Ovis aries: one gene and its partner. The protein of the gene in region 2 purifies or fractionates together with the protein of the main gene of each other region. This does not show direct contact. Links are inferred from orthologs where the notes say so. Each region holds a gene or a part of one and is shown on either strand. Other genes may lie near its edges. The genes, in order: NCK2 and LRFN4.

Region 1 (15,015 bases), on a different chromosome or scaffold from region 2:
GCCAGGCGATGACGCATCTGGTTTCATAACCCCCGAGTCACCGCACACCTGCTTCTCCCTGGCTTCTCAAGGGGGCAGCCCCTCCTCCTTCCCGTGGCCCCTCCTGGCTTTTCTCCCATTAGCATTCTTCTGAACAATCTGTCTCTATTTTCTCTCTAATTATCCACCCACTGATCTGTTGTGAGTTGTTTTACATTTTTTGTTCTAAATACTTGGACGCTCACGATATACGGAAACAGATCCAAGTTTATTTTGGGTGCTGGCACCACAGTTTTCTGTAGATGTCTCTGCTGTCTGTGGGCACTGCATTTGGCAGGTCGTCTGTACTGTGAATGATCTCGTGAGACAGAGCTAGAGAGTTCTAAATTACGGCATGGTGTATGTAATTCAGGTTCGCACAACTGTATAGATTATAGCAGAGACTGAGGAGGTGAACCTCAAGTGTTAAAAGTGGCTCTGCAAACCCAGAGTCCTTGCTATAACATGGTAAAGAGATGACAACTGGAAAAGCTGGATGTTTAAAATCAAACTGAGATCTCTCAATATTCTTTGCACGCGCTACATAAAAACTTAGGGGGTGGTTTGTTGTTGTCCAGTCCCTCAGTCATGTCTAACTTTTTGTGACCCCATGAACAGCAGCACGCCAGGCTCCCCTGTCCTTCACCATCTCCTGGAGCTTGCTCAAACTCATGTGCATTGAGTCTGTGATGCCATCCAGAGATGGCATCCTCTGTCACCCTATTCTCCTTTTGCCTTCTATCTTCCCCAGATTGAGGGTCTTTTCCAATGAGCTGGCTCTTTGCATCAGGTGGCCAAAGTAGTGTAGCTTCAGCTTCAGGGGAGTGGTTTGGTTTTGTACTTTTTAGAAATGAAAAAAAAAAGTACTTTTTTGTACTGGTTCCTTAGATGGTGACTTCATTTAGGAAGTTATGTTTAAGTGACGTGTAGAAAGACTATCAGTAATTTTCTTATCCTTTATGGACAGTCACCTAGAAAACCAAACTACTTATAAGACAAATGTAAAGAATCAGCTTCTCCTCTTAGGTTGTTTACAGAAAATACAAAAACACTGAGCATCCTGACCACTGACCAAGCAAGGAGGCATGGACCAAACCCATATAGTAAACCTCCTTTCCAGCATGTGTTGAAATCAGGCTTCAGCAGAAAGGGCAGATACTTGAGCACCAACTGCCTGGTGACAGCCAGTACTGACTCCAGCAGGAAGTCCCCTCGACAATCTTATTTTGATTCTACGTGTGTACTGAGCAAACAGATGCAAATGCCAACAGTCATTACTTCTGGGTGATAAGATCACAGGTGATTTTTGTTTTATCCTATTTTCCAAAAATTTAAAAAATAAGTATGCCTTCCTTCAATGAACAGTTTGATAAAAGACAGGCATTTCAAAGAGATGACAATTCTGAGGGCTACCCGAGTGCAGAAATCGTGTCATACCAAAAGCCTGTGAATGGCAAAGACAAGAGAATGTGCTTGCTGCCAAAGAGACTGCTGCCAAAATGGAAATCAATTTACAGAAGAGGGAGAGGTGTACTCCTGGGACATTTGGCTTCTCAATCATTTTCATTAACAGCTCCTGCTCCCCTCAACATTAAAGGAACCGGGCGAGATATTGATAAGTGAGTCCCTCGGGGCCAAGAGTAAAGGATGCTCACGAAGTAGCTAGTCCTCTACAGTCCCAGGGGACAGCACGGGCGGGAGAAAACCAACGCAGCCTTGCAGGTGGGGCCAGAAGTGACTGGATGCACCAATGCTTCCAGAAGGATAAAAGAGGAGCCAAGGGGTACTGTCCAGTCCTTTGCAGTGGCCCACGAGGGACAGCACCAGTGTTCCACTGAGCCCCACGCATCTAGGCCAGGGTTGCTCCTCCGGTCCACCCACGCTCAAGACCCAGGGGCTGAACGCTACCCTTTATTCCGTCCCGCTGGGCTCCACTCCTGTCGTGCACAAGGACACGGGGCTGGTCCCACAGCACGTCGACACCCATCTCAAAGCCTTTGGCTATTGTTCCCAGAGGTGACTCAGCAGGAACCAAGGAGCTTAGAGGGACTTCCAAGGGACAGAGAGAGGAAGAGATAACTCCAGCTCAGCCTGAGATAATCATGGACCGCGGCATTCCTCACCCTGGGCTCATCTGGACAGATCGCCTGCTGCCTGCCTTGCTCAGACCTGCCAAGGATGCTTGTGACCACAGCAGAGACCCACAGACCTGCGGGGCCTGAAAGGGCACCCCAAGGCCCCACAGAGGTGGGACCCCGAGGTGCTTTCTGACCATCTTTCTCTCCCGTCTCTGTTGTAACAAAGACGTGCTTATTGAACTGGCTGAAGCAGCCTGGACTGGTCCAGCAAGAAGCAAGATTCCCTCCCCTGCCTGCTGCAGAAAGGAGTGCTGGATGATTACAGAAAGTTCTGAGCCACGGCCTGGGGACATTCTGGGGAAGGTTCAGTTGGCACGTTCACGCCCAGTGGCAGCCTCACGTTCAGGTCTGATCTCAGCAGGTGCTCGGTGATCCTCTGATCTCTGAATGGTGACGGTGGTTTAGTCACTCATTCATGTCCCACTCACTCTCGCGACCCATGGACTGCAGCCTTCCAGGCTCCTCTGTGCATGGGATTTTCCAGGCAAGAATACTGGAGTGAGCTGCCATTTCCTTCTCCAGGGGATCTTCCGGACCCAGGAATAGAACCTCGGCCACTTGATGTCTGCCCATTTGGTTTAATGTTTGGTAAAGTTGTAAGAACAGCACAAAGGATGTGTTTCCCTGAGCTCTCTGAGAGCAAGCTGCCAGTGTCCTGTCCCATTACCTCAATACCTGGTGTGCACCTCCACACATGAAGACAGCCTCCTCCTCAACACAACCCTGCCATCAAAACCAGGGCGTTAACACCGACACATGTTCACTGTCATACTCACACACCCCTCAAGCTTTACGAATAAAACTCTGGTTTTTCATCTCTAAAATAGAGAACCGCATACCACTAGAATTTCCTTTTAACATCCTAGCTGCTTATCTTTGCTATAAAGTCCTGTCAAATGCCCACCCAGTTAAATCCTGATATTCGAGTTGGTTAAAAATAAACACACACACAAGCAAATTTACCTACATACAGCACAGGGAACTCCACTCAGTGTTATGTGGCAGGCTGGATGGGAGGAGAGTTAGGAGGAGAACGGATACATGTATATGCACGACTGGGTCCCATTGCTCTTCACCTGAAACTACCACAACATTGTTAATCTGTTATGCTCCAATAAAAAATAAAGTTAAAAAAAAAAATCCCAAGTTGTCCCATCTGTGCCTTTTCTTGCAGAAGTAAATTGCTCAGTCAACCCCACATGGATATGCTTTGAGGAACCTGGGGAATTTCACTCCCAGGACCAGTCCCTCTCCAACCACAAGCCTCAGCCCAGACAGCACGAGGTGTACTTCAGAGAGTGAGCAGTGGTCTTTGAGCAGCCTCTCTCTGCTCCCGGGTCTGGCATGAACTCAGAAAGGTAGAGTCTTGGTGCTAACCGCTGGCAGGTGACTAACTGGCCTCAGGTCAGGTCACATAGAGGCCAAGGCTAAGGAACAGCCCTGGTGGCAGCCCACTGCTGGTTCAAGACACCATGGGAGGCAGTCTGCAGTGGACATGCGGGCCTTGGAGCCAACCCTCCACTGGTGGCTACTAACAGGTTATAATGGAGCCGTGGTTCTCTAGGCAGCCTGGTCAGTACCTGGGCCTAAGGTGATCACTGAGAAGACAGCTAACCTTTGGGGCTGCAGCAGGGTCCAGCTGCTGTCGAGAAGTAGCAAGAAAGATAGCTCTTCGAGAAAATACCTCCTTCAGCTAAGAAGATTTAGCACGTGGCTTGATAACACCTCACCTGCATGGTTTTATGAGTCAGGTCATGGAAATACCAAGGCCAGGTTGGAGCCCAGGGATGTGCTGAACCTTTAAAATATTACCCGCACTCTGCTAGGAGAAGCAATTCATAAGGACGGCTCCTTGTTATTAGCGGCAAAGTTCTCTTTGACTGTTCATGATCGCGAACTGAGTATGAGAGATCTATGGTTGCACGTATGCATCAATGCACTGCCTGTATGCAAAGAAGTGCTCATGTTGTTTTACTTCATTACAAATTATTAAAAGAAAAGAAAGAATGTTATCTGGTTCCTAACAGAGAGCTCTTCGGGGGGAAGGCTCTGCTTTATGTCTAGGGGCTTCCCAAGTGGCACTAGTGGTAAAGAGTCTGCCTGCCAATGAAGGAGACAGAAGAGACTCAGGTTTGATCTGGGTCGGGAAGATCCCCTGAAGGAGGGCATGGCAACCTAGTGTTCTTGCCTGGAAAATGCCATGGACAGAGGAGCCTGGAGGGCTACAGTCCATGGGGTCACAAAGACTGGACATGACTGAGCATGCCTACACACACTGCTTTCTGCCCAACAAAGGATGAGAAGTGATTGAATTAAACTGGCGACCAACCTCAATCCAGTGCAGGAATGTAAAAAAGCCAGAGAGGCTCTGTGGATCACCGTTGTCTGCAACTAGAGATGTCACCAGGCATGTGGTACACAGGGACTTTGCTGGGAAGTCTGTGCTGTTTTGTCCCAAGCCAGGTGTCTGCCGGGGAAATCTTAATCTGGCTTTAACCATAGCAGGCGAATCACAAACATGGATGATGTCATGAGTAGCTATTAGAAGGTTCACACATGTGGTGTGGTTTCTGAGCCCGTTTTCACTATTTCTGATGCACGGTGGAAAGAAAATCCACTGGCTCCGTAATCCATCTAGGATCACACTGGAATTCCGACAGCAGCACACAGGTCACATCGATTTAAACCAGAAGCCTTGGAAGGCTTAGCTCCAAAGACCAGCGGGAGGCAGGAGAGGATGGGGAAAGTCTTGGCACCTTCCTTCTCAATACTGATGCCATGTCAGGTCTGATGATGGAGAGATAAGTCACTCCACCACGGTGCCTCTTGTCGGGTGCCTCCCTTTTCAGTGACACTGCTTGAGGGGCCAATGGAGGACTCAGGCCAAGACAACAAGGTCTCTTTGTCCAAGAAAAGCAAGGCTTTGGGTGAGCAAGGTAAACACATCAAAGCAAGAAAGACCAACCATGAAGGGGGGAGTTTCTCCCAGGTGATGAGAATACTGAACCCCATGAGCCTTTAGAGCAGGGGTCCCTAATATCCAGTATCTAACACCTAATGATCTGAGGTGGAGATGATGTAAGAATGATAGAAATAAAGTGCACAATAAATGTAATGTGTTTGAATCATCCTGGAATCATCCTCTCCCCTCCAGTCTGTGGAAAAATTGTCTTCCACGAAAACAGTCCCTGGTGCCAAAAAGGTTGAGGACCACTGCTTACTATAAATATTAACTGCTGTGGATTGATATGGATGTTCAGAACATAACTTTGTTGGTGTTTTTACAGTAGATGACGGTTGGTGCAAACATTTCCAAGGCCTGACGGGGGAGGAAAGGTGGAGAAGGGTGGTCAGTCCCCAGAAAAGAAGCACGGTTCCCCAGCACAGCTCTCAAGTGCCAAGGAGAGCTGCGCGGAGAGAGTTACAGAGGAGCGAATGTTGATTCTATTTAAGGAAGAGCTTTCTAGCAATCTGTGTTCTCCCAAAATGGAACTGGCTGGCTCCGTGGAAGGAGACATGAGCCTGCAGAGCTGGGTGGCCATCTGTTGGGGCGGGGGAGAAAGCCTGGCACTCCACACGTGGACAAGCTGGCTGAGTGATGCCCCCTGAGTCCTGGGAGTCCCAGAGACTGACCATGGCTCGTGAAAAATTGAACCTGAGCACAAATGTGCTTTACAGCTCAGCTGTCTTCTTGTTCTAGAAGCTGAAGGGAGGAAGGACAAGCTGTTCAAGGGGATTTGTGGGGAACTTGGAGGGCTACCTTCACCTTATTTCACTCCCCAGCGATCCATCCCATTTCTGGGTGTTTTATTCTTTATTGCACTTCCCCGATGGCTCAGCAGTAAAAAATCCACCTGCAAATGCAGGAGATACGAGTTTGATCCCTAGGTCGGGAAGATTCCCTGGAAGAGGAAAAGGCAACCCACTCCAGTATTCTTGCCTGGAAAAATCTCATGGACAGAGGAGCCTGGTAGGCTACAGTCCATGGGGGTCACAAAGAGTCAAACACGACTTAGTGACTAAATAACATCATTCTTTACTAGAATCTTGAGAATATATTTTTTTAAAAGGATTAGAAAGAAGACAAAACAAATCAACAATGTTGAGCATCTCCAAAAAAAAAAAGGGACTTGAGTGGATAAGGAAAAGAAGAAATAAAACTAAGTTCAGGGCACTCCTAAAGTATTTACCTAGTCATACTTTCCGAAATTCTAGATCACAGTTAATGGAGAATTATACGCACAGGACAACAGTGTTTCTTTCAAGTGACAAGCTTGGGAAAAAAGACAAACGGGTGTCACTTTCATGGAAAAGAATCAGATTGCTCATGAAAAGCAGAATTTCTCCATCAGGCAGAGTCTACAGTAGCTGATGTGATCCACACGCTGGCCAGTGTCTCATTTCTCTTTCAGAGTCACGGAAATAACCTAACCCATGACACAAAATTACTCTCCAGTGGGTGAAGGCTTCGTATGGTTTCAAAGAAAGTCAGTGGACTCTTCAAGATTGCAGAAAATGAAAGATGAATATTTTGCAACACTCATCACACTCAGAGCTTAATTCTCCTTTCAGTTTCCCTACCTGTTCCCCTCCCTCAAATGAAACCAATTCTCAGGTTAGAAATAAAAAGGAAAACTTCAAGGACATGTAACGTGGGTGATAACACTGACCTATTTCGAGAGCAAACTCTCCCGTGACAGCCAGTGGTCTCAGGGGTCACTGTATGGTGCTCATGGAAGGAGACATCACGGACCTGACCTTCAGGAAGTAACTCTGACTCCCTCTGCAGCCGTGACTACTGCAAGGAAGCCTGATGCCCACACGAAGGTGAGACCGGATACCATCAACTCCAGTGGACCCAGATGGCCTCTCTCATGTCCAGACACCAGGGAAGGGGACAGGCGCATGGGAAGAAAGCCAGGTGCCCAGCTGGCCCCCTGTGAGTCACCCCAGCGGCCTCGGCATCATACCACCCCCTCCGAGTCCCCACCTTAGCTGCCACCGTGCGCAACTGTGGTATGAAATGCCGCCAATTCAACAGGGGGAAACAATTCACCAGGTTCCAGGTGCTTTTCACTATCTCCTCCTCTACTCACAAAGGTCCCACGCACAGGATTCTGTGGGAGAAAAGACTGGATGGAATGACCCGGGTGGAGCTGTGGACGTGCCTGGAGAGGCTAATTCCCATCTCAGGCCCCTCCAGAACATTGATGCCAGGAGACTGAGATGTGCAGGGCGGGAGGTAGAGGTTCAAAACACATGGAAGGGTCAGCTTACAGAAGCCTCCGAACTTGAACATCGCAAGGAAATGACAAACAGGCTATTTCTGCACTGCATCTCAAAGCCCAGAGACTCTTAAGAAAGACGAATAGAAAGATGCCTTTTTTTCTTCAAACACGAATGAAAATGACGACCCCCCCGACCCCCTGCCCTGAGACTGCCCGCCCTCTGCGCTGGGCTAGGGTCCAGCCCAGGGGCCCGCTACGCCCGCCACTCACCGAGCGTGTCCTTGATGTTCTTCACCAGCGAGCCCTTCTTCAGGCTGTTTTTCCTCTCCACGTAGTTGGACGGCACATAGCCTGTCCGGTTGGCTGCGTTGCGCACCCGCCACCACGTCTTGGAGTCGTCCAGTAGCCACAGGCGCTCGTTCTTCTTGATGTCCAGCTCCTGATCCTGCTGGGCCGTGTAGTCCCACTTGGCTATGACGATGACCTCCTCTGTCATCTTTCATGGAGTACTTCTGCCAGCAAAACATTTGAAGAGAGTCATTAGAGCCCTGGCCAAACACCACTGCCTCCACTTGGAAAACTACACCCTGACAGCTTTTATTACAGCTTGGCAACCATCAGAAAGAATGAAGCGATGCCATTTGCAGCAACATGGATGGACCCAGAGATCATCATACTGACTGAGGCAAGTCAGACAGAGAAGGGGAACTTGTATGGCATCCCCTATACGTGGAATCTAAAAGGACATGATACAGATGAATCTTACAAAACAGAAACAGACTCAGAGACTTAGAGAACAAACTTATGGTGGCCAGGGGAAAGGCTGGGGGAAGGGATAGTTAGGGAGCGTGGGATGGACATGTACACACTGCTCTACTTAAAATGGTTAACCAACAAGGACCTACTGTAGAGCACTGGGAACTCTGCTCAATATCATGTGGCAGCCTGGATGAGAGGGGAGTTTAGGGGAGAACAGACACATGAATATGTATGGCTGAGTCCCTTTGTTGTCCACCTGAAACTATCACAACATTGTTAAGCAGCTATACTCCAATACAAAATAAAAGGTTTTAAAAAACAAGTTGGCAACTGGCTGTCTCTGGGGTCTTGAAAAAACCTTAAGATGACCTTCCTTCAACAACCTTTAGTATTTTGTTTAGAAATGACCAAATGCTTGACCTTATCAAGCAAATCTTAATTTTGCACAGTTGGAACTCTGTATGCTTTGCTTAAAACAACAAAAGCTTTCCAAAACCTACATAAAATAATGGTATCATAATTAAATATGTTCAGTTCAGTCCAGTCACTCAGTCGTGTCCGACTCTTTACGACCCCATGGATTGCAGCACGCCAGGCCCCCCGTTCATTGCCAACTTCTGTAATTTACTCAACCTCATGTCCATTGAGTCAGTGATGCCATCCAACCATCTCATCTTCTGTTCATCGGTTAAGTAACACCAGATTCTTACAGCTGACACTGTTACATCCATTTTCTCAGGATAAGCTGAATTTTCTGAACATACTTAATGACTGTGACACACTCAAACTGAAATGGTATCCTGGACTGAATCCTCAAATATGAACACTAGAGAAATCCAAGGGAAGTCTGGGGCTTCCCTGGTGACTCAGAGGTAAAGGATCTGCCTGCCAATACACGAGGCATGGGTTTGATCCCTGGGTCGAGAAGATCTCCTGGAGGAGGAAATGGCAACCCACTTTAGTATTCTTGCCTGGGAGATTCCATGAACAGAGAAGCCTGGTGGGCTACAGTCCACAGGGTCACAAAGAGTCAGACACGACTGAGTGACTAAATAACCACAGCAACAAAGTGAAGTTAGTCAATAGTTTACCACTAACCAACTCTTACTTCCGACACATGTCCCTTGTCAGGCAAGATGTTAGCACTTAGAAAACTGAGTGGGGGATATTTGGAATGCTTTGCACCATCTTTGCAGCTTTTCCATAAATATAAAATCATCCCTGGAACCTGAAACACAGATGTTTATAGCGGCTTCATTCATAACTGCCAAGATTTGGGAGTCATCCAGCTGCCCATCAGTAGGTGATGGGTAAATCAACTATAGTCCATCCAAATAATGGAGTATTATTGATTGTTGTTGTTAAGTTCCGGAGTTGTGTCCGACTCACTGAGACCTGCCAGGCTACTCTGTCCATGAGATTTTCCCAGACAAGAATACCAGAATGGGTTGCCGTTTCCTTCTCCAGGGGATATTTCCAATCCAAAGACTGAACCTGCGCCTCCTGCACTGGCAGACAGATTCTTTGCAACTGAGCCAGCAGGGAAGTGAAGTGAAGTCGCTCAGTCGCGTCCAACTCTTTGTGACCCCATGGACTGTAGCCTACCAGGCTCCTCTGTCCACGGGATTTTCCAGGCAATAGTCCTGGAGTGGATTGCCACTTTTTTCTTCAGGGGATCTTCCCAACCCAGGGATCGAACCCGGGTCTCCCGCATTGTAGACAGACGCTTTACTGTCTGAGTCACCAGGGAAGTCCGAGCCAGCAGGGAAGCCCCAGTGAAATATTACTCAGTGATAAAAAGAAATGAGCTGTCAAGCCATGAAAAGACGTGGAGGAACTTCAGATACATATAAGACTATGTGGAAGAAGCCCATCTGAGAAGGCTGCAGACTGTGATTCTCACAAAAACTCTCTCCTTGACCAAACTTGAGTCAGACTCCTCTGAATTCTCTGCGCAGACTAGACATCAACTCTCTGAATTCTAGCAAGAATCCTGCTGAGTTGCTGGACCCTTAGAGAGGTGACGCCTCTTCTTAGGAGGCATCTTGTGAGGTCAGTGCAGCCAGAACCCCCTCTCACCTCTGATGCTTCCTCTCATGTGCTCCCCACCTCCTCACTCCTGGACTACAAACTACCCCCCCCCCTTCCCTCCTGTAGGTGGATGTGAGCCCAGTCTCTCCCCACTATGGCAAAAATCCTTCAAAGTACTTCCCTGAGTAAAATCAGCTAAACCATGCTTTAAGAAGTGTCATGTTTTCTTCAATAAATCCAAGTATATAACATTCCGGAAATGGCAAAACTACAGAGACATTGCAAAGATCAGAGACAGAAGGAAGGAGGACTGGGTGGAACACAGGGATGTTTAGAGCAGTCTGACAATTCTGCACGATACAGTAACAGTGGACACATGTCATGACACATTTGTCAGGAAATACCAAGAGTGAACTCCAAAACCAAAAGTTTATTAAAACAACAAAGAATTCGGTATATTACCTACCTCAGTAAGTCAGTTCTCAAAGTAACAAATAGTAAAAGTATATCTGAATGACTACAGTAACTATGGCTAGTGTTTAGTTCTTCAGTCATACCCAACTCTTTGTGACCCCCATGAACCACAGCCCACCAGGCTCCTCTGTCCACGGGATTCTCCAGGCAAGAATACTGGAGTGGGTTGCCATTTCCTCTTCCAGGGGATCTTCCCGACTCAAGCATCGAACCTGCATCTCCTGCATTGGCAGGCAGATTTTTTACCACTCAGCCACCGGGGAAGCTCCACAATGACTATAGTTATGAGCTATTTCCTAACTTCTCAGGTAGAAGGTGGGCCAGTATGTTTGCAACAGAAAAATTCAACATTCAGTCATTTAAATGACTACACATTTACTCAAAACTAGGAAGACATGAATAATGGAAAGGCTTTTGACTGAAACCCTCTCCTTATCTGACAGGGAGGAGTTCTCATTATTTACAGGGTCTACTTCAGGATGACAGAGGGGACCTAGCGCACTGACTCCACAGAAGAATGAATCCCATTTTTAAATAACATGACACTCTCTGCTGCTAGATGCTAAAGACACTTATAAATAATACATGTTCTCCTCCTTCATGAATTAACTTCCAAACTTACAGATAACAAACCTTTGGGGAAGGAGGCGATGATGAATAAACCTTACACATAATGTACACAATATCCAGGGAGACAGTTTACACAAAGCTCATTTCTAAACTGTAGGCAATACTGTTATCTACTTTCAGAAAATCTCAAGTCCATGGGTGTCTCCATATGTACTGAACTCACTGTCAGGCTTGATTTTTGAAGGTCATGGAGGTCGTTTCTCTTTTTTCAGTCATGAGGGGAGGGGCCCGAGCAGTAAAAGGAATGAGGTTCAGACAGTATTTTATTGGGATACCAGGTTTGTGTCTCAAATTACAGTTGTTTTAAAGAGAGATTTTAACAAGAACAGCACATCATTCAAGACCAATCAAAGCAATCTATAAATTTTCTGCACAATTTAACTTCGTGAAAAAGCTGGTAAGTTAGGCTCTGGCTGGCATGGTAGGTTTCAGTGCAGGTTGACAATCACAGGGAAAGGAGCCTAGAACATGCTGTGCCTGACTCCAACCTCCTCGGGCACCTGGGACCCCCAGGAGTGGGGGCTGAATGTCCCTAGCATTTCACGGGCCTCAGGTGACTCCAACAGCCCTCCTTGAAGGTGCTCCTCCTGGGTCTGGAGCAGGGACTGTTGAAGTGAGTGCTTAGTCTAGGGGAGGACACTAGCGTGCACAGGGTGCTCATTTAATCTCCAAACACCCACCTCTTGGGGAAGTGCAAATTTTAAAGAGAGGGACAATCAGAGATTCAGTGACTTGCTGAACAGCAGAGCCAGGACTTGAGCCCAGGGTTGTGGTCCTGTGATCACTTCTTGGGTGAGTGATCAGAGCCCACCATCAACCACCACCTCACGCTAGCAATCACAGCTCTCCATCAACAACCACCTCACCCCAATGACCACACTCCCCCATCAACAACCACAACAATAGCCACACACCCCCATCGACAACCAATCACAGTCAGTGCACAGGTCTACCCACCCCGCCCACCAGCACCCAGGCCACAGACCCCACTTTGCCTTCCTTTGGCCATTCAGGCTGTAGAGACTGGCGGCTGGACGGCCACCCTGGAGGGAGCTGTTGGTAAGGGTAGGGGGGCAAGAGTGGGGGTTCCACCCAAGGTCCTGGGAAACTGCTCCAGGAGGCCAAGAGGAGCCAGTCCTTCCAGTAATGAGAAGTCTGATATGAGTGTAGGATGAACTGTGTAACAAGAAGAGGCTGGCACTGAATTAAGATTATCCCCCAATATAAACCAGATGTACAAAGTGACTTAAATTCCTAATACAGAAAAGCCATAACAGAAGAAAGTCTGAGGAAGTACCTTCTAATTGACCTCAGAAATTTTATGTCAGAAATGGGACGCTGATGTGGTCTAGGACTTACAGAGGTCAGATACAAAGCATAGTGTACATTTACCCCTCCAGCTTGGGCAGGTCAGGAAAATCAAATTTTTGCCTTCATTCACTAAGCTAATATTCACCCACCTATAGCCAACAGAAAGAAGAGCCACAAAGTTAATATTCTGCAGCCAGGCCATGTTTCATGTCATGCGACCAGTCATACACTTTTAACAGTTAGCGATACAGATTAGCAAGAAAAACCCTATTTTATACTGAATTAAAGAAACTCAGAAAATCTAACATGCTAAGCTGCTTTTTCAAGTCTTGGGTGGAAGAAGATTTAAAAAAAAAAAAAAAAAAAAAAACCCCAAACAGACTGGAATAGTTATAAAACTTTCTTGGCCCGGCAGTTGTCACTAACTCCTAAAATAATATCAGTCCTATTCTGGGACTCTCTAAAAAAGAGCCTGTTAACTGCAGCTTGCTGCTTTAGGGCTGGATTACATAATTCTCAGAACAACCAATACCCCAAAATGCTCACGGACACTCCCAAAGGGGTCTCGGGGGCCAAGCTGAACCACTCATAACTACAAACAAAAAACCTGAATAAAGAGTCTGGGGTTCAGGATTTCCTAGGTGGTCCAGTGGCTAAGATTTCTTGCCCACTGTAAAAGGTTTGATCCCTGGATGGGGAGCTGGATCCCATATGCAGCAACCTGAGTTCACATGCTGCAACTAAAGACCCCGCCTGCTACAATGAAGATCCAAAGACCCCACAACTAAGACCCAGTGCAGCCAAGCAAATAAAAATTAACATAAGAAACAATAATCTGGGGTCAATGCTTAGCTGGGCCTTCTGTGCATCCCCCTGGCCTTCCTCTCATTCTGTAGGACAAGACAGCAGTAACTGCCTCGCTTCAGGAGGTATCCAGACCCCTGGAAGCAGCCCAGTGATGTCGTGATTAAGGGGCGAGGTTTCATGTCATACAGGCCTGGGCTGGAGTCGGCTGTGCACCTCAGCCCAGCTGCCCTTCTGTCGTGTGGGGCAAGAAGAACACCTCCTCCAGGAGTTTGTGAAAACAGCTCTGAGCCCCCTGCCCACACACAGACTCAGAACGGGAATCACAGTCAGCATGAAAGCACTGTGCATGGTATAGCACTGATGGTTAGTGCCAGGGGGCCAGGCTGCCAAAATCTCCTGCCCAGTACTCTAGCATGTAAGAGGACAGTGCGGGGCGCTCAGGCTTTGGGATAAGACCCTTCTCGTCGGTTTGAATCCTGGCTCAGGCACTTTCCAGCCTGTGGACGTGGACAGGTTATCTTACATCTCTAAGCCCCAGTTTCATCATTCATTCAGTGTCTCTGTAGATCCATCGTCCCTGCTTCACAGGGTGACTGCAGAGCTGGGATGAGCTCACAGTTAGGAAGCAGCCCCATGGGCACCAGGGGGATGCTAGCAGCTCCTCCTATGACTGGGCTTCCCTGGTGACTTGGCAGTAAAGAATTCGCCTGCCAAGGCAGGAGACATGGGTTCCGATCCCTGGGTCAGGAAGATCCCTTGGAGGAGGAAATAGCAACCTACTCCACTATTCTTGCCTGGAGAATCCCATGGACAGAGGAGTCTGTGCATGGCGGGCTACGCTGCATGGGGTCACAGAGTTGGACACAATTTAGCAACTAAAAACAACAATCTTTGACCATGTGCCCCTCCCCATGGAGGAAGGCGTGCCAAGCCCGTTCTGTTGTTTATTTTCTCTTTTACATGTAGTGTATTTTTGTGCCTTAGGGAAGCAGTAATACCTTGACTCTCATCATGGCTTAATTAACTTGCTGAGAGCTGGAGCAACATGAGATTCCATATCGTGTCCTACTTGAAGTTGAAGTCTAGCAGCTGTAATTAGTGATACGCTTGCAGAAAGCCACCAACTGGCCTTTCTGTTCCCCTCAGGGCACCACAAGCTCCTGCCAACTCCTGTCAAATGAGTTGGCATCTGGTAAGTCTTATCTACCATGCAATCTGAAACTTTAATAAACTTGAAACTTTAGTAAAGAATTTATAAGGTCTTTTAAAGTTGCTTCTGACACCGTTTCTCTGAGTGGGTCTCCTTAAAGCAAGTGTACTATTTTAAAGTATTTGCAAAATAAACAAAGGGAGGAAAACAGTGTGATAAATGAGAGAAAACAATGAAAGTGTTATTTTTGTTTGGACTGACCGTGGCATGGTTACTCATGGCATTCTTTTTCCGTGGGCTGCTGTAGGCACTTGCATAGACTTAGCGGCTTGAAACAGCCCAACATTCCCTTACAGTTCTGTGGGGCAGAAGTCCCAGCTGGGTCTCACTGGGGCTGAGTCAAGGTATGGGCAGGGCCATGTTCCCTCTGGAGGGTCCAGGGAAGAATGGTCCTTACGTCTTCCAGCTT
Region 2 (15,744 bases):
CCCGGGCATGGGTGCCCCGATCTGGCCCTTGACGTCCTTCAGGGCCTTGGGGTGGAAGTGCATTTCCTGCAGGCAGGGTGGACAGCACGTGAGGCCCCAGCCCTGCCCGTCCCCACCGCCTGGCTGGCCCAGGGCAGCTGTACCTTCATGGCCTGGGTGTCCTTGACCAGGATGGACCGCAGCTGTCCGTTGAGCTCGAAGAAGACCTGCCTCTGGCCCGCGCGGTTGAGGTCACTTATGGCCAAGGCTTTGATGTGCAGCGTCTTGCCTCGTTCCAGCTCCACCTGCAGGGAGGCCACCGGGAGGCTCAGCCAGGCGGGGCGAGGGCCAAGCAGGGAGAGCAGCCCCTGCCAGTCCCAGGCAGGGCACCCTACCTCCCCGGGGCTCAGCTCCACACTTGTAAAGACCTAGCTCCCGGGTCTCTTAAGGGTACTGTGTGAACCCCCAGCTCACGAGGCTGGGGGACAGGCACATCAGAGCCCTGGCACCCTGGAAGTGCTGGGGTCCCTTGGGGGGGCCGCTGTGCAGCGCAGGTAGGTGCCAGAGGCACTGACCTCAAACTCCTCTGCAATCTTGGGTCCCTGCAGGAAGAGGCGCGTATTGAGGCTGTCCAGGGGGCCGAAGGTGGCGGTGAAGTCCTTGAAGTGGGCAAAGACATCGGGGTACATGGCGGCTGAGAGCACGTCCTCTGGGGTCACCTCCTCCCCGTGCCGTTCTGTCAGCTCCTTCTCCAGCGCCTGCAGGTCCAGGGGTGGGAGGGAGGCTCCCGGCCGACCCTCCACCCTCGGCAGGTCTTTCAGCACCTGGGATGCAGAGCAGACGGTCAGGCCTGGTTCCCAGACGCCCTTGCACTGGCCCCCCACCCACCATGGCACCAGGCCTTCCTGACCTTGGAGCGAAGGGGCTCTGGGAAGCCCCCATGGGGGATGCCGATGTAGCCCTGCAGGAACTCCACCACCGAGCGGGGGAAGGACAGCTCCTCTGCCTGCGCTTCGGCCTCGGCTCGGGTCAGCCCGTTCTGCACCATGAACTGGGCCAGGTCCCCCACGATCTTGGAGGAGGGCGTCACCTGAGGAGAGGGGACCCCTGGGTTTAGGGTGCCAGGCACCTTACAGAGGCCCCGAGGCAAGGGTGGGAGCGCCTGGCTCACCTTGATGAGATCGCCCAGCATCTGGTTGGCCTCCACGTAGGCCTTCTTGACCTCCTTGAACTTGGAGCCAAGCCCCATGCTGTGCGCCTGGAAGTGTAGGTTGGTGTACTGGCCCCCTGGGATCTCGTTCTCGTACACGTCCGAGTTGCCAGACTTCATGGTGGCCGTGCAGTCAAAGGCCGCGTACAGCCCCCGGGCCCCCTCCCAGTACTCACTGTAGTCGAACACACGCTCCAGGGGCACACCTGCAGGGACACCAGAGGCGGGAGGCTTGGAAATGTGCTGAGTCCCAGAGGCCCCTCCCGGGACCCCAGGTCCAATCAGGCACCACCGCAGACGTGGGTGATGGAAGGCCCGGCCTGGAGAGGCCACCCCGACTGCCAGGACGGGCAGGGCTGTGGCTGTGCCTACCTGTGTCCAGGGCCGTCCCTCGGGTACAGGCCACCAGGGCCCCCATGCTGGGTTGTGACGTCATTCCAGACATGGAGTCAGCTGCCACGTCCACCACGTCAGCCCCCGCGTGGGCACAGGCCAGCATGGCTGCCACACCCGCCCCTGACGTGTCGTGGGTGTGGATGTGCAGCGGGAGGTCAGGGAAGCGGTCCCGGAGGGAGCTTACCAGCATGGTGCAGGCCATGGGCTTCAGCAGCCCGGCCATGTCCTGAGAGAAGCAGGGAGGAGACAGTGAGGGGTGGGCACGCGGTGTGCCCAGCGGGGGTGAGGTGCATCACAGCGGGGAGGCGGGGCGGGGGGCAGACTCCCGGGGGTGGGCTGGGCGGGCACCTTGATGCACAGGATGTGGGTGCCGGCTCGCACCAGCTCCTCGGCCAAGCCCAGGTAGTACTGCAGTGAGTACTTGGTGCGGCTGGGGTCGGACACGTCCCCCGTGTAGGAGATGGCGGCCTCCACCACGCCACCGGCACTGCCGGCTGCCTCCATGCCCAGCAGCAGGTTGGGCAGGTAGTTGAGGGAGTCAAAGACCCGGAAGATGTCCATGCCATTCTCCTTGGCCACCTCGCAGAACCTGAGTGGTTAGGAGCGCTCAGGGTTAGCTCCAGCCCACCCCCTCAGCACATCCTTTGCTGGCTCCTGGCCCTCTTGCAACCCCTGGAGAGTGAGATCTGAGGGCCGGGTCTGGCGGGGGCACCATGGCATGTCCATGGCGTGGATAAGCCTCTCTGGGGCAGCCTAGGTCGGGCGGGGTCACCCCAGCAGCATCTGACGAGCAGCAGAGCCGCCCGACGCCAGTCGCGTGCAGTGCGGCTCCGTCTGCCCCAGTCAGAAGGATCGCTGGGGATCGTTTGCTTTGCCAAGGCGTGGCAGGCTGAGGAGACGGAGGCCTGGCTTCCAGCTGCAGCTCTGCACACGTGTGCTGGGGCTCATCTGCCCTCCGGGGGCCTCCCCTGGAAGCCCTCCCAGTTCTCTCATTTGCCGCCCTGGCTGGGCACAGCTACTGAGGGTTGGTTTCCGGCCCACTGTGGGGCACGCAGGCCTCACACTGGGGCCCAAACGGCGCACCCCACCCAGGCTCACTTGAAGACCACGTTGTCGGGGTAGTTGGTGTAGCCCACGGCATTGGCCCCCCGCAGCAGCATCTGGAATGGGATGTTGGGGACGAGCTCCCGGAGCTCCTGCAGCCGTCGCCAGGGGCACTCGTATAGGAAGCGCATGGCGACGTCAAAGGTGGCTCCTGCACCGGGACCAAGGGGCCCAGGTCAGCCCCTCGCGTCCCAGGGGCCCTGCCACACCCCGAAGCCTGCACCTCCAGTCCTAACAGCGCCCTGCTCATCAGGGTCCCTTGCGTCCCGGGGGCCCTGCCACTCCCCGCAGCCTGCACCTCTGGTCCTAACAGCGCCCCACTCATCAGGGTCCATCGCGTCCTGGCACTAACCCCTGCACACTTTCCTTTGCTGGCCCCTCGGGGTCACGGTGTCCTCTCTGTGTCCCCCTCACGGCCCTCACCCCTCTTCTCTGTGCCACAGCACGCTAACAGGTTGGCATCTCCTCTCTCACCCCGAGCTGCCAGGGTCTCAGCTCCGCGACCTCAGGTCCGGGAGAAAGGACACCGGTCACTATTTGCTAAACCCGTGAACGCCTTGCCTTGTTCAGTTCTCATGGGTTCCCACCTCCAGCTTGTCCCAGAGAGCAACCCGCCTGCACTGTGGGGCCCACGCTCCCTCCCTCTCCCAGCCTACCTCCCCAGTTCTCTATGCTGAAGAGTTTGTTGAAGCTGTGGGCAACGTAGGGGGAGATCTTTTTGAGATCATGGGTGCGCACGCGCGTGGCCAGCAGTGACTGGTGGGCATCCCTGAAGGTCGTGTCCATCAGCAGCAGCCCCTCATGGTTCCGCACTGCTCGAGCAAAGCCCTCAGGCCCCTCCCGCAGCAGGATGTCTCTGAAACCCGTTGGGGGTGGGCCTAGGGCAGAGCGGGGCATTAGCACCCACCCTGCAAGTGGCAGCCTCCATGTCACCGCTGTGAGGTGGCAGAAGGGATCTCACCTACCGATGGGCACCACAGGGACGATGGGGTCTGTGGGGCTGGGGTTGGCCTTGACGGGGATCGGGGTGGTTGGGCCATTCACCATGACGTGTCCTGGGAAGAGAGTGGGCGAGGGTCAGGGCAGGCTGGGCCAAGCCTGAGTCGAGGGCAGAAGTGAGAGTGGCTGGGCCTGGGGCTGGGGGTACTCCTCCAGGACCCCGGGTCTTCCAGCTGGCCCCTGTCCTCTCCAGAGCCAGGGCCTCCTGGGTCAAGGCAGTGGGGACCTGGTGACGGCCACACGGAGGAAGAAGCAGCCTCTGAGATCAGGGGCGGGGGGTCAGGGGCGGGGGGTGAAGCAAAAGAAGAGGTGCGTGGCCAGGCCGAGGACGGGGCAGAAGCAAGGCATCCAGGGTGGGGAAGAGAAGGGAGACTCGGGCAAACCAAGGTAGTGCAGCAGCTTCTGGGCCCGGTTCTGTGCGGGCCGCAGCTGGAACAGCTCCGGGTTCTCGTCGATGAACTGCGTGTCCACGGTGCCTGCCAGGAACTGCTGGTTGTTGAGTACGTTCTGCAGGAAGGGGATGTTGGTCTGCAGGACAGAGGCAGGTAGGAGGGTGTCACTGTGCAGTCTGGCCAGGGACAGGAGTGGCTGGACGTGCTGCCGGGGACTGCGATGCAAGCCTCCCCGTGAAATGGCGGTCCCGCCCGCTTCACCACCCCCACCCCGGTCCTGGCTGAGCCCCCAGGCTGTCAGGGGCCTGAGCCCACCCCCCTACCCTGCTCGCCCTGGAGCCTGTGCTGAGTCCCGCCTCCCCACTCCTTCCAGCCAGACTGAAGACGGATTTGGCCTTTCCTGCAGCACCGCCCCTCCCCACCATGCTTCCTCAAAGGGGCCTCAACATCCAGGGACCCCACCACTGCACGCAGCATGCGCTCTGACAGTCTGAGGTCCCTCCTTCCAGTTAAATCCACCCTCCTCCTGCCAGCAACTCCCGCCGGGATGCCCTCTCCTTGGGCTTCCAAGACTTTTCGCTCCCCTCTGCCTCCTCCCTCGTTCCACGTTCCACGGGGGTTCCTCCCACCCCTGCAGGAAGGAGGCTGTCACCCAGCCTCTCCTTCTCGCCCAGCACTCTCTCCCAGGGTGGCCTGTCCTGGCCACTAGCTCCAGACCCCACATGGAAGTGCCTCCTGGGCACCTCTTCCTGAGCGCCCCTCACACAAGCTCATCCAATCCCATGTCGGCCTGTCTCCCCCAGGCCTCCCCTACCTTCCGTGGCATGCCTCACCACCCACCTGGCTCCCAAAACCTGAGCTCATCACCTTCACCACTCACTCCTGTGCCAACAGGCACACTGGACGACTCTACCACAGCCATCTCTGGACTCCGTGTCCCCTCGGCCTCAGGCCGGGCTTCCCAGTCACGGCCACCTCTAGTCACTCCAGACTTGCCCTGTGCGCTCACATCGCCACGCCTGCTGGCTGAGCTCCTCCTGAGGCCTGAACTCAAAGACCTTCCCGGTCCTCATCTCCTGCCCTCATGGCAGAGCCGTCCCTTTCTAGGACTCCATGGGACCAGCCGTGGGAAAGCCTTGCTCAGCCTCATCATCTTGTCTGCAATCTTCTCAGACCCGGGAGCACTTTAGAGGCAAGGGTGCCGTCTGAGGGGCTGGTGCCCACGTGCTCTGTGCACAAGGGCCCTCTGTTCTGCTTATTAAACAGCTGGGTGACAGCATGAAGCCGCGGCAGGGCTGAGTCCACCCTGGGGGCCAAGGAGGGGTCGGGTGGGAGTGCCTGGGAGCCCGTGCTACAGGAGCTGCCCCAGGACACGCTGCAAGGCCTAGTGGACGCGACTCCAGTGTGCGTGCACCTGTGGCTGTGTGGCTACGGCCCGGCTGTCACTTCAGAGAAGGCAACTTTGTGGGTTGCACATGCGCGATCCTCTCGCACCTTCAATAGGAAACCCAGGCCCACCAGGCCCTGGGCCCTGAGGCTGCTCTGAAAGATTCTTCCTGTCCCCAGGGCTCTCGTCACCTCCCCCACCAGCACCCACGGCGGCCACCGCAGAGTGGGGCCAGCCAACATTGCCTCATGCCTGCCGGGTGTAACCAGCTTGCCTGTCTGTCCCTGAGACTAGTCCGTGCTCCTCCTAAAATGGGGACCTTTCAGCTGGGCCAAGGCATGGAATCTGAGACAAGAAAACCAATTCAACCAGCTAAAGAACCTAGCGCATCATAGGGGTGGCAAGGATGCTAAGAGGCCTCCACGTCCCACCCTGTGTTTCCCTTGGGCAGACCCTTCCTCCTCTGTAATTTCTGGAGGATGTCACCCAATCCATCCTCCATGGGGGAGTAAGCTCCATGCAGGCAGGCAGGCCCCTCTGGTTTCCGATCTATCCCAGCTCCCCTCGGAGCAGCACGTGGTGGATGCCAGTAACTTGTACGTTGAGAGTGAATGAAAACGTTCTTGATAGGGAGAAGAAAAGGGAGTATCCGATGCCACTGAGCAAGAGGTGACCTGGGCAAGGATCCAGCGCCCTCATTTTACAAATTCAACAGCCGCAGAGGCCCGAGGAGTGGCACCAAAAAGAATGCTTTCCAGCTGCCTGAGCCCCTCACAAGTCACCTCCTCTCTTCTCTCAACCCATGAAGCACCAACAATCAACACTCCTTAGCCTGAATAAGAAAACTGTCTCAGTGGTTAAGAACTTGCCCAAGGTTACCGGGTGTACCAGGCAAGATTAGAAATCCAAGGAAACGGCAACCCACTCCAGTATTCTTGCCTGGGAAATCCCATGGACAGGGAAGCCTGGCGGAGTACAGTCCATAGGGTCTCAAGAGCTGCACAAGACTTAGCGACTAAACCACCACCGTTTCCTTGAGGAGCCTGAGGGCTAGAAAATACTTGGGGGAGGTGGTAACTTCCCTTGTTTCCCTGCTGGGCCCAGACGAAAGACCAGGGTCCGCGTTCAGCCTCAGAGCGCTCAGCGCTCCCAGCCGAGCCCGGATCTCAGAGGCAAAAGCCGGGAACTCAACCCCGCCGACACATCGCGGGACCCCCGTCTCAGCCGGGCCGACTCGTTCTGGGCCACTCTTTCAGGGAAATGCCCGGTAGGAACAGAAGGGGGAGGGAGGGGCCGCCGGGCAGGCCAGGAACCCTGACGCACAGCTTCAAACGGCGTGCCACTGCCGGCCTGCCGGGAAAGCGCGCCGCGCAGACCAATCGGGCCGGAGGCGGAGACCGGTTGGTTCCCGTGCGCGCCCGGCGGGGCGGGGAGCCTGGGACGAGGAGGGAGGGGCCGGCAGCGGGGGCGGGGCGCGGCGCCAGCCCGAGGCCGAGCCCTCTCCGCCCCACCCCGCTGGAGCCCGGCCGGGGGGCATCGCCCCAGCCCTCCCCTCCCCCCGCAGGGCCCGTGCCTGTTGGGGACCCTCCACGTGACTTGGTGATGCAGAACGGTTATGACCTTCACCGTGTGTCTGTGAACGCGAGGGTCCCAGCAACAGTGCGGGTTTGCACCCGGCCCTGCCGGTGGGTGCGGGGACGTGTGGGAGTGTGGGCATGTGTGGGTGTGTTGGGGAGGGTGCCCAACGACATGTGACAAAGACTCTCGTCTCTGGGAGATGGTGAAGGGGCCCGCGAGCTGGCGCTTTGTCTGCCTGTCTGCAGAGTGACGGTTCGCGCAGCGGCAGCAGGCGCCCGTGCGGTGCAGGATGCCGGGGCGCCAGGGTGGCCGGGGGCGCGCGCGCCTATGCCCGGGTGAGTGCGCTGCGGCAGCGCCGGGGGGCTGCGCGGCGGGTCCGCGCCGGCCCGGGCCTCGGGCGTGACCAGGAGCCACCCGTGGGCGCTGCAGTGGCCGCGTGTCCGGGTGACCTCGGGAGCCGGCCGGAGCCCGGGTGGATCCCCGCGCGCCCCTCCCCGTCCGCTCTCCACGTGCGTGTCCGCGGTGCGCGTGCTCGCTGGCGCGCACCCGCCTGCCTGTCGCTGCTGCTGCTGCTGCTGCCGCCGCCGCCGCCGCCGCGAATCGCTCCGGGAAAAGGTGCCGCGAACCGAGTGAGCTGGGGCCGCGGGCCCGAGCGCCATGGGCCGGAAGGCGCGCGGAACGCGGCTGGTCAGCCCCGGGCCTCATCCCCGCGGGAGAGGCGCCTGGAGTCGGCAAGGGCCGGCCGGGCCCACGGGGAGGCCGGCCCGCGCCCCCTGAGCTACGGACACCAGGTGAGGGGGCCGTGGGGGGCAGTGTGGGGAGCGGCCAGGGAGGGGCGGGGGCCCCAGGAGGGCTTGGGGAGGCACCTTAGCCGGCGGGGGAGGGGATGGCGCCGAAGGGATGCTGGCGAGTCCAGGGGACGCCAGGGGAAGGAAGTTCCGGGACCCTCCCTGCGCTCCCGGCCACCTCCGCTTCCTGCTCACGCCTCACCTTGTCCCCAGAGCCTGGGCTCCCTCTCACGGCTTGGGAAATGTGACCTTTATTCCGGGGGCCTGGCTCTGCAGGCCCCAGCCTTATCTCAGCTTTGGGGGACCCCTTGGGCCTTTGACCCTGACCCCACCCCCAGGCCGGGCTCTGGAAGCTGCCCCCCCCCAAGATCTGCCCGGGGCAAGTGGGCAGCGGTGCCAACCCCACCTGTGCCTGGGCTGTGGCCCTTCCTACAGGGCGCTCGCCATGGCCCCGCCGCTCCTGCTGCTGCTGCTGGCCAGTGGAGCGGCCGCCTGCCCACTGCCCTGCATCTGCCAGAACCTGTCGGAGTCGCTCAGCACCCTGTGTGCCCACCGAGGCCTGCTGTTCGTGCCGCCCAACGTGGACCGGCGCACGGTGGAGCTGCGGCTGGCTGACAACTTCATCCAGGCCCTGGGGCCGCCGGACTTCCGCAACATGACCGGGCTGGTGGACCTGACGCTGTCCCGCAACGCCATCACCCGCATCGGGGCCCGCGCCTTCGGGGACCTGGAGAGCCTGCGCTCCCTGCACCTGGACGGCAACAGGTTGGCGGAGCTGGGCGCAGGCAGCCTGCGGGGCCCTGCCAACCTGCAGCACCTCATCCTCAGTGGCAACCAGCTGGGCCGCATCGCGCCAGGCGCCTTCGACGACTTCCTGGGCAGCTTGGAGGACCTGGACCTGTCCTACAACAATCTGCGGCAAGTGCCCTGGGCCGGTATCGGCGCCATGCCCGCCCTGCACACCCTCAACCTGGACCACAACCTCATCGACGCGCTGCCCCCAGGCGCCTTTGCCCAGCTCAGCCAGCTCTCCCGCCTTGACCTCACTTCCAACCGCCTGGCCACGCTGGCGCCCGACCCGCTCTTCTCCCGGGGCCGCCACGCCGAGGCCTCGCCCACGCCACTGGTGCTGAGCTTCAGCGGGAACCCTCTGCACTGCAACTGCGAGCTGCTCTGGCTGCGGCGGCTGGCACGGCCCGACGACCTGGAGACCTGCGCCTCCCCGCCCGGCCTAGCCGGCCGCTACTTCTGGACGGTGCCCGAGGGCGAGTTCTCCTGTGAGCCGCCCCTCATCGCCCGCCACACACAGCGCCTCTGGGTGCTGGAGGGCCAGCGGGCCACGCTGCGGTGCCGGGCCCTCGGCGACCCCGCGCCCACCATGCACTGGGTCGGCCCCGATGACCGGCTGGTGGGCAACTCCTCCCGGGCTCGGGCTTTTCCCAATGGGACCCTGGAGATTGGGGTGACGGGCTCCGGGGACGCGGGGGCCTACACCTGTATTGCCACCAACCCGGCCGGCGAGGCCACGGCCCGCGTTGAACTGCGGGTGCTGGCTCTGCCCCACGGGGGGAACGGCAGCACCGAGGGGGGCCGCCCGGGGCCCTCGGACATCGCGGCTTCAGCCCGCACGGCTGCGGAGGGCGAGGGCACGCCTGAGTTGGAGCCGGCTGTGCAGGTGACGGAGGTGACAGCCACCTCCGGGCTGGTGAGCTGGGGGCCAGGGCGGCCAGCAGACCCCGTGTGGATGTTCCAGCTCCAGTACAACAGCAGCGAGGACGAGACCCTCATCTACCGGTGAGGGGGCGATCTGCAGTCCAGAGCCCCCAGCTTGGGAGCCGCCCTCCTCTGAGCCAGCTCTGCCCCCTCTGGGGAGGGCTGGCCACCTCTCCTGCCCCTGCTCTCTCCTGGGGCTTCCATGCACCCCTTCTCAGTTTCCGAGCTGGGGGGTCGTGGGGGCTGCAGGGGGAGGGGAGGGGAGGAGTCTGTGCCCCACGAGGTCCCAGGCGAGGCTGGCAGGCGGAGCCCGGGGTGCTGGCGTCTGTGTTCAGGCACTGGCTTAGCCTCACGGGCACTGCTGTGTGAGTCTCTGCAGCCTCTGAGGCCCGGGGCGGGCCTGGGTGTCGATGGGCACACCTGTCTGCCCTGCACCATCTCCAGGGCCACACGCGCCTGCTTGTTTCCTCCGCCTTCTGAAGTGAACACACAGGCTCCTGTGGGCCTGGGGAAGGGGCTTCTCAGAGCTGGGACCTGAGAGCGTGTGTGTGTGGGGGGGTGGGCTGCGAAGGGAGCTTCAAGGCCTTGTGGCCCTGGGCAGGGGGCGGGGGCCTGGACCCCAGGCCTGCGCTCTGACCCCTGCCCTTGCCCGCAGGATCGTCCCGGCCTCCAGCCATCGCTTCCTGTTGAAGCACCTGGTCCCGGGCGCCGACTACGACCTCTGCCTGCTGGCGCTGTCACCCGCTGCTGGGCCCTCTGACCTCACTGCCACCCGGCTGCTGGGCTGCGCCCACTTCTCCACGCTGCCAGCCACGCCCCTGTGCCACGCCCTGCAGGCCCACGTGCTGGGCGGGACCCTGACTGTGGCCGTAGGGGGCGTGCTGGTGGCTGCCTTACTGGTCTTCACTGTGGCCTTGCTGGTTCGGGGCCGGGGGGCCGGGAACGGCCGTCTCCCCCTCAAGCTCAGCCACGTGCAGTCGCAGACCAACGGAGGCCCCAGCCCCACGCCCAAGGCGCACCCCCCACGCAGCCCGCCGCCTCGCCCCCAGCGCAGCTGCTCCCTGGACCTGGGGGACAGCGGCGGGTGCTACGGTTACGCCAGGCGCCTCGGAGGGGCCTGGGCCCGACGGAGCCACTCTGTGCACGGGGGGCTGCTCGGGGCTGGGGGCCGGGGGGCGGGGGGCAGCGCCGAGCGGCTGGAGGAGAGCGTGGTCTGAGGGCTGGGAGACCTCCCGGGAGGCAGAGGGTGCAGGCGGGCGGCCTCCTGGCCTGGTGGGTCAGCGTGGCTGGAGAGCACCCGCCCCGGCCCTCCCCTCAGTGCCTCTGGCAGGACAGGGGCCCTTGCCCTGGTTCTGGCCTCCAGTCGGGCAAAACGGGACAGGCCCCTGTGATAGGTGCTCACGGCCTCCGAGCGGGGGCTGCAGCTGCCAAGTGGAAGTCTTGTCTTTCTTTATAATAAAATTATTGGGGCCACCTCAGTGCTAGTCTCTGGCCTGGTCCTGCCCGGCTCCCTGAGGGGCCTGTGGAAGCACAGACAAGGGGGTCAGGCTGGGGTTCCCAGCCCTGTGGAGGCGGCCCCAGCAGCCTGGGTGCCCTGGAGAGCAGGCGGCTCTGTGCCCACATCTATATGCAGAGGGCGCCCCTGCCTGGAGTGTGCGGCCAGGACGCTCGCCTGGCACAGACATCAGAGCGCACAGGGCAGCAGCGGGAGTCGGTGGGGGATGGCCCGGCTCTTCCGGGCAACGGGACCTGGGCTGGTAACTCAGAAAGTCCCCACTGACCCCTGCTGGTGACAGTGTCTTTCCCCATTGGCCAAGGTGCCTTCAGGATTTGTAACATCAAACCAAAGGGCCTAGAACCGCATCGCCCTGCTCTTGGTCTGGGACCCCCGGAGGGCTCCCGTCGGAAGTGCGGGCCCCGAGTGGGGTCTCGGCTCTCAGCTGCTCCCGACGCCCCTCAAGGCTTTGCTCTTGCTGGACATCCTGGGGCAAACACCAGGGGGCACCAGGCCCCCATGGCCACGGCTCTGGTTCCCACCTCGAGAACCAGGCTCGGGGCAGCATGCCCTGCCCTGTCCCACCCCCTCCAGCTCATGTCCCCACCAGCCCATGGCCCAGACGGCCTCCTCCAGCCTTCAAACAACCACTGCTCCCAAGTGTCGGCTGGGAGGAAGCTGCAAACACACCCCAGGCATGCGTGGTTCTCTGGTGGTGCCAGGAGCACCCATGCAGGTACCCGGGCCCCGCTGTGGAGGCAGGTGTGGCACCCCTGCCCGTGGGGCTGTACCTGTGCTGAGGGGTGGTGCGCCCTTCTGCCTAAGCCCTGCTGTGCCTCTGATGGCAGCCTGGTGAGAGCTGGTGTGGTAAGGTGCGTGTGTACGCGTGTGCCGGCTGAGCTCACACACGTGTGCGTGGCGTTGACACACACATGTGCCTGCCCACCCAGCCCCGGAACACATACCTGGATGTGGCCCAAGAGAGATCCTGGTTTAAATAAAGTGAAACAAGGGGTTCAGCCAAGAGAAGCAGGAGAATGTGAGCCGTGCCAGGGCAGCACGGAAGGCGGCGGGGCCGGTGCCCGGTCTGGGCATGCACCGGGGGGCACTGGGGCCCTCCTCCACCTTCTGGCGCGAAGGCAGTGGGAGCTTGGGAGCCCCCAGCCTGTCGGACGGGTGGACAGTACTATGGCCCAGGGTCACCAGCAGGACAAGAGCACAGGGGTGGGCAGGCGGGGGGTGGGGTGACCGGGCCCCCTGCTCACCAGTCCCCCGGCCCAGAGCAGCCCCGGACATGGCCTGCCACCATGCCACATCCCGGCCATGTGTGCAGGGAACGGCCCCTGACCAGGTGCCCTGAGGCTCTTCACGGAAGCGCAGATACCCCCAGCACGGGGGACAGCCCTGTCCTGTGAGGTGGGCTGAGAGCGGAGAGTGGCCACTGCCCCGCAGGCTCCTCCGTCCCGCCTGCTTTTTGAAAAGGTGATGGGGATGGAGCAGGGCTGAGCGAGGACAGCGCTGCCCACGTGGCCCAGACCCAGCGCCCAGCCTGGACCCAGCAGGGCGGGAGCCACTGAGAAGGCGGGGGCTGCGGAGTGCCGTGTGCGGTGTAGGGACTCGGGGGCAGCTCCCCCACCGTGGGCTGGGCCACTAGTGTGGTCCCCTGCCCCTGGCCCTGCAGCAGGTCTAAAGTGGCATGTGCCCAGGGCAGGCCCACGGGTACGCAGAGGCACTGGCCTCGGACACAAGACAGCCTGCGGCAATGACTTCACCTCTGGCTATGGACACAGGTGACAGAGATGACCCAGAGGCCAGGGGCATCTCGGGGCTGCAGCCTCTCACCTTCACGCCTCGGACTCGGAACTCGGCCAGGGCTCTGCTCATCTTGGTGGCAGCCGTGGGGTGGTCCTTGCCGTGGGCGATGACCTTGACCAGCAGGGAGTCGTAGTGGGGGGAGATGACAGCGCCTTGGAAGGCAGAGGCGTTGTCCAGGCGGATGCCCATGCCCTCCCCGCTCCGGAACACCTGCGGGCAGAGGTGGCCCAGTCAGGCCAAGGTCTGAAGCTGGAGTCGAGACATGGCACCCCCGTGGCCCCAGGCTGGACCAGCATGGGCCGGCAGGGCTCCAAGAGTCACGCACAGATGACCCCCAACTCTGGTTTGAGAACTTCTGCTTCATTTCTGCCAGCAAACCGAGGGGCACCCCACCGGCTCTAAGGGCCACAGTCACGGTTTCCTCCTCCCTGAGAGGAGCTGGCAGGGGAAGAGGGCAGGACGAAGGGTGGGGAGCATGGGCCCCGCCAGCCCCAGGCTCGGGGCCCCACTCTCAGGGCCGACGCGGAGTCAGCAGGGCACGGAGGGGCCAGACCTGCCACCCGCCTGCTTGACCAGCCCCCTTGCCTTTCAGATTCATTTGTTCACTCATTCAGTCCGCAGCGCGTGTGCCCACCTCACGCCAGGCACTGGGGACAGAGCAGCTAAAACAGAGGCCCCGCTCAAGCAGGGGTCCCAGCCTGCGGGGCGAGGGGACAGACAGAGGAGGAAACACAGACGAGCGGCAAGGGCGCTGCAGGACGGAGCCAGGCAGGGGAGGCAGGCCGAGGGGGTCCCTAACACCCAGCGACAGGGAAGGCCTCGGGGTCCCCCGCCTTCCCTCCCTGTCAAGTGGGAGAGGAAGGAGCAGTGAGCTGATGAGAAACGCTGGGACCAGATGCAACGAGATGCACGTGAGCCCACAGGCCCAGACAGGGAAGCAGAGGGCGAGGGTCAGAGAGGCGGCTCAGGGGCACAGCCGGGGCTCCCAGGAGTCACCGGTGGAGACTCAGGGCTGGGGGAGGGGCTTTGGGTGTGAATGCCCGGGGTGGGGGCCTCGTGAGCAGCACTGGCCAGGGAGACGGGGAGCGGGAGGGACAAGCGGGGGCCTGGGGACACACACTGCACTGCACTTCCGCGTCTAAGGGACACAGCCTGTGCGTGATAAAAAGGAGCTTAATAAAATATTTAAGCGTGAACGCTCAGCTGTGAGCAGGAACCGTCAGCTAAAAATATTCTGTGGTAAACCAGGCTCGGAGGAGCCAGGCCTCGGAGATGGAGCTGTAGCGGGGCTGCCCCTGCCCGCCGAGGGCAGACTCGATGGGGGCGCCCGCTGGACAGTGCTCCAGCCTGGGAGCTGGCCCCCACCTGTGGACCTGGATCCTTCCAGAAACAGTCCTGGTGGTAGCTCTGCCTCAAGCCAAGCAGCCAATGCGACTCTCAGAACCAGACTGCTCCCCACCCCACCCCGCCTGGCCACCCCAGTCTGTCCTCTCAGGCTCAGTAACGGAGAATCACCCTCCTGTCCTCCCTCAGGTCCGCTTCCCCAGACTCCTGGGCCAGAGGGGGCAGCAGGAGGGCCGCAGAGTGCTGACTTGGAGCCAGAGGTATTCTTAGCTGGGGCATGAGGCAGGGCCAGAGGCCAGGGGCCCCAGCCGGCCCAGAGGCAGGGGCCGGGGGAGTCCACCAGGCCCCCTACGCCACTGCTCGGGCTCCTCCCTGTCCCCACCATCTCCCGGACTCCCGCATGCATCCCTGACAGGTCCCCTGGCCCAGCCCAGCCCCTCCACTGAGACCTCCGGGACCTCATCCCTCATGCGCCCGGCTCCTCCCCCAGGTTGAAGGCAGGACCGAAGCCAGCAGGACCCCTCAGTGGGCAGCGAAGCTTTGGGTCCTTGTGAGATGAGTCAAGGACCTGGGCTCTGTTCCTGGGGATTCCGCACTTGGCTCCACCCAGCTGACCTCCCTGTCCCCGCTGGTGGCCTTCCCAGCCTCCATGGCAGCCTCTCCCAGGAATGCTCTCCCCTTTAGTGCTGGACAGCGCCTGGCTCCCACATACTCTTAAGCTCCAGTGAGGCGCCCCCTTCACTGCTGGGCCCACAGGCTCCCTCGTGCCCCCCGGAGAATGGCCTTCATGCAGACCGAGCCGGGCGGCGGGCTCTGGCGGAGGTGGCCTACCTCGATGCGGCCGGTGTCGGGCTGGAAGCTGCGCGCGGGGTCCTCGGTGGTGACCCGGCACTGGATGGCGCAGCCGTTGATGCGGATGTTCTCCTGCCGGAGGCCCAGGTCAGGCAGGCTCCGGCCCTCAGCCACGTGGATCTGGGCATGGACCAGGTCCACACTGCAGGTTGGGGGAGGGACGGGGAGGGGGCGGCATGAGGCAGGGGATGGCTGCGGGCAGCCCTGGCCCCCGGCCCTGCCTGCTGACCCTCACCAGCCTCGTCCTGACCACGCCCAGGCTGGGAGCCCTGCAGGGTCCGCCTGAGGAGCAGCTGAGATGTTAGCAGCACCCTGGGCTTGCCCCCCACCTCCACCCCCAACTCTGCCCTGCGCCCTCCCTGTCCCCCTGCCTCCCGCAGACCCTCCTGACATCAGACCCTCCCTCTCACAGCGGTACATGCTACTCTGTGTGTGGTGGGTGGGGTGGGGGTCAGTTTGCCAGAGAAGATCTCAGAGTACAATCTCCACATGAGCCTGGTTTTCTAAGCACACCCTCCCTGACTGCCAAGCTCTTAAGGACAGCAACAAATTCAAGTGGAACAGCTGTTTAAAAGCTCCAGGTTTTCAATTTATTGTCACTGAGGCTTGTGGTAAGGACAGCCAGGAAACATCATCGGCAGACCTTCCCCAGTGTTCTGTATTTCAGTAGCGATGATGATTACTGGGCATTG

What was found.
Region 1: the proteins of LRFN4 (region 2) and NCK2 purify together in Homo sapiens (co-immunoprecipitation; 3 studies listed by BioGRID and IntAct, counting the BioPlex papers as one, with this or other methods). This does not show direct contact. The link is inferred for Ovis aries from reciprocal best matches to the Homo sapiens genes LRFN4 and NCK2.

Annotation. Positions count from the first base shown.
Region 1 is NC_056056.1:60,812,115-60,827,129, reverse strand, and holds part of NCK2 (cytoplasmic protein NCK2), read right to left. Parts: intron 7,897-15,015; 5' UTR 7,881-7,896; coding exon 7,655-7,880; intron 1-7,654. UniProt on the Homo sapiens protein: Adapter protein which associates with tyrosine-phosphorylated growth factor receptors or their cellular substrates. Maintains low levels of EIF2S1 phosphorylation by promoting its dephosphorylation by PP1.
Region 2 is NC_056074.1:41,273,342-41,289,085, forward strand, and holds LRFN4 (leucine-rich repeat and fibronectin type-III domain-containing protein 4), read left to right. Parts: upstream 1-7,936; 5' UTR 7,937-7,945; coding exon 7,946-9,627; intron 9,628-10,201; coding exon 10,202-10,763; 3' UTR 10,764-11,024; downstream 11,025-15,744. Other genes in the region: PC (pyruvate carboxylase, mitochondrial), read right to left, coding at 1-66, 144-284, 555-803, 890-1,069, 1,151-1,395, 1,562-1,811, 1,934-2,174, 2,684-2,840 and 5 more. UniProt on the Homo sapiens protein: Promotes neurite outgrowth in hippocampal neurons. May play a role in redistributing DLG4 to the cell periphery.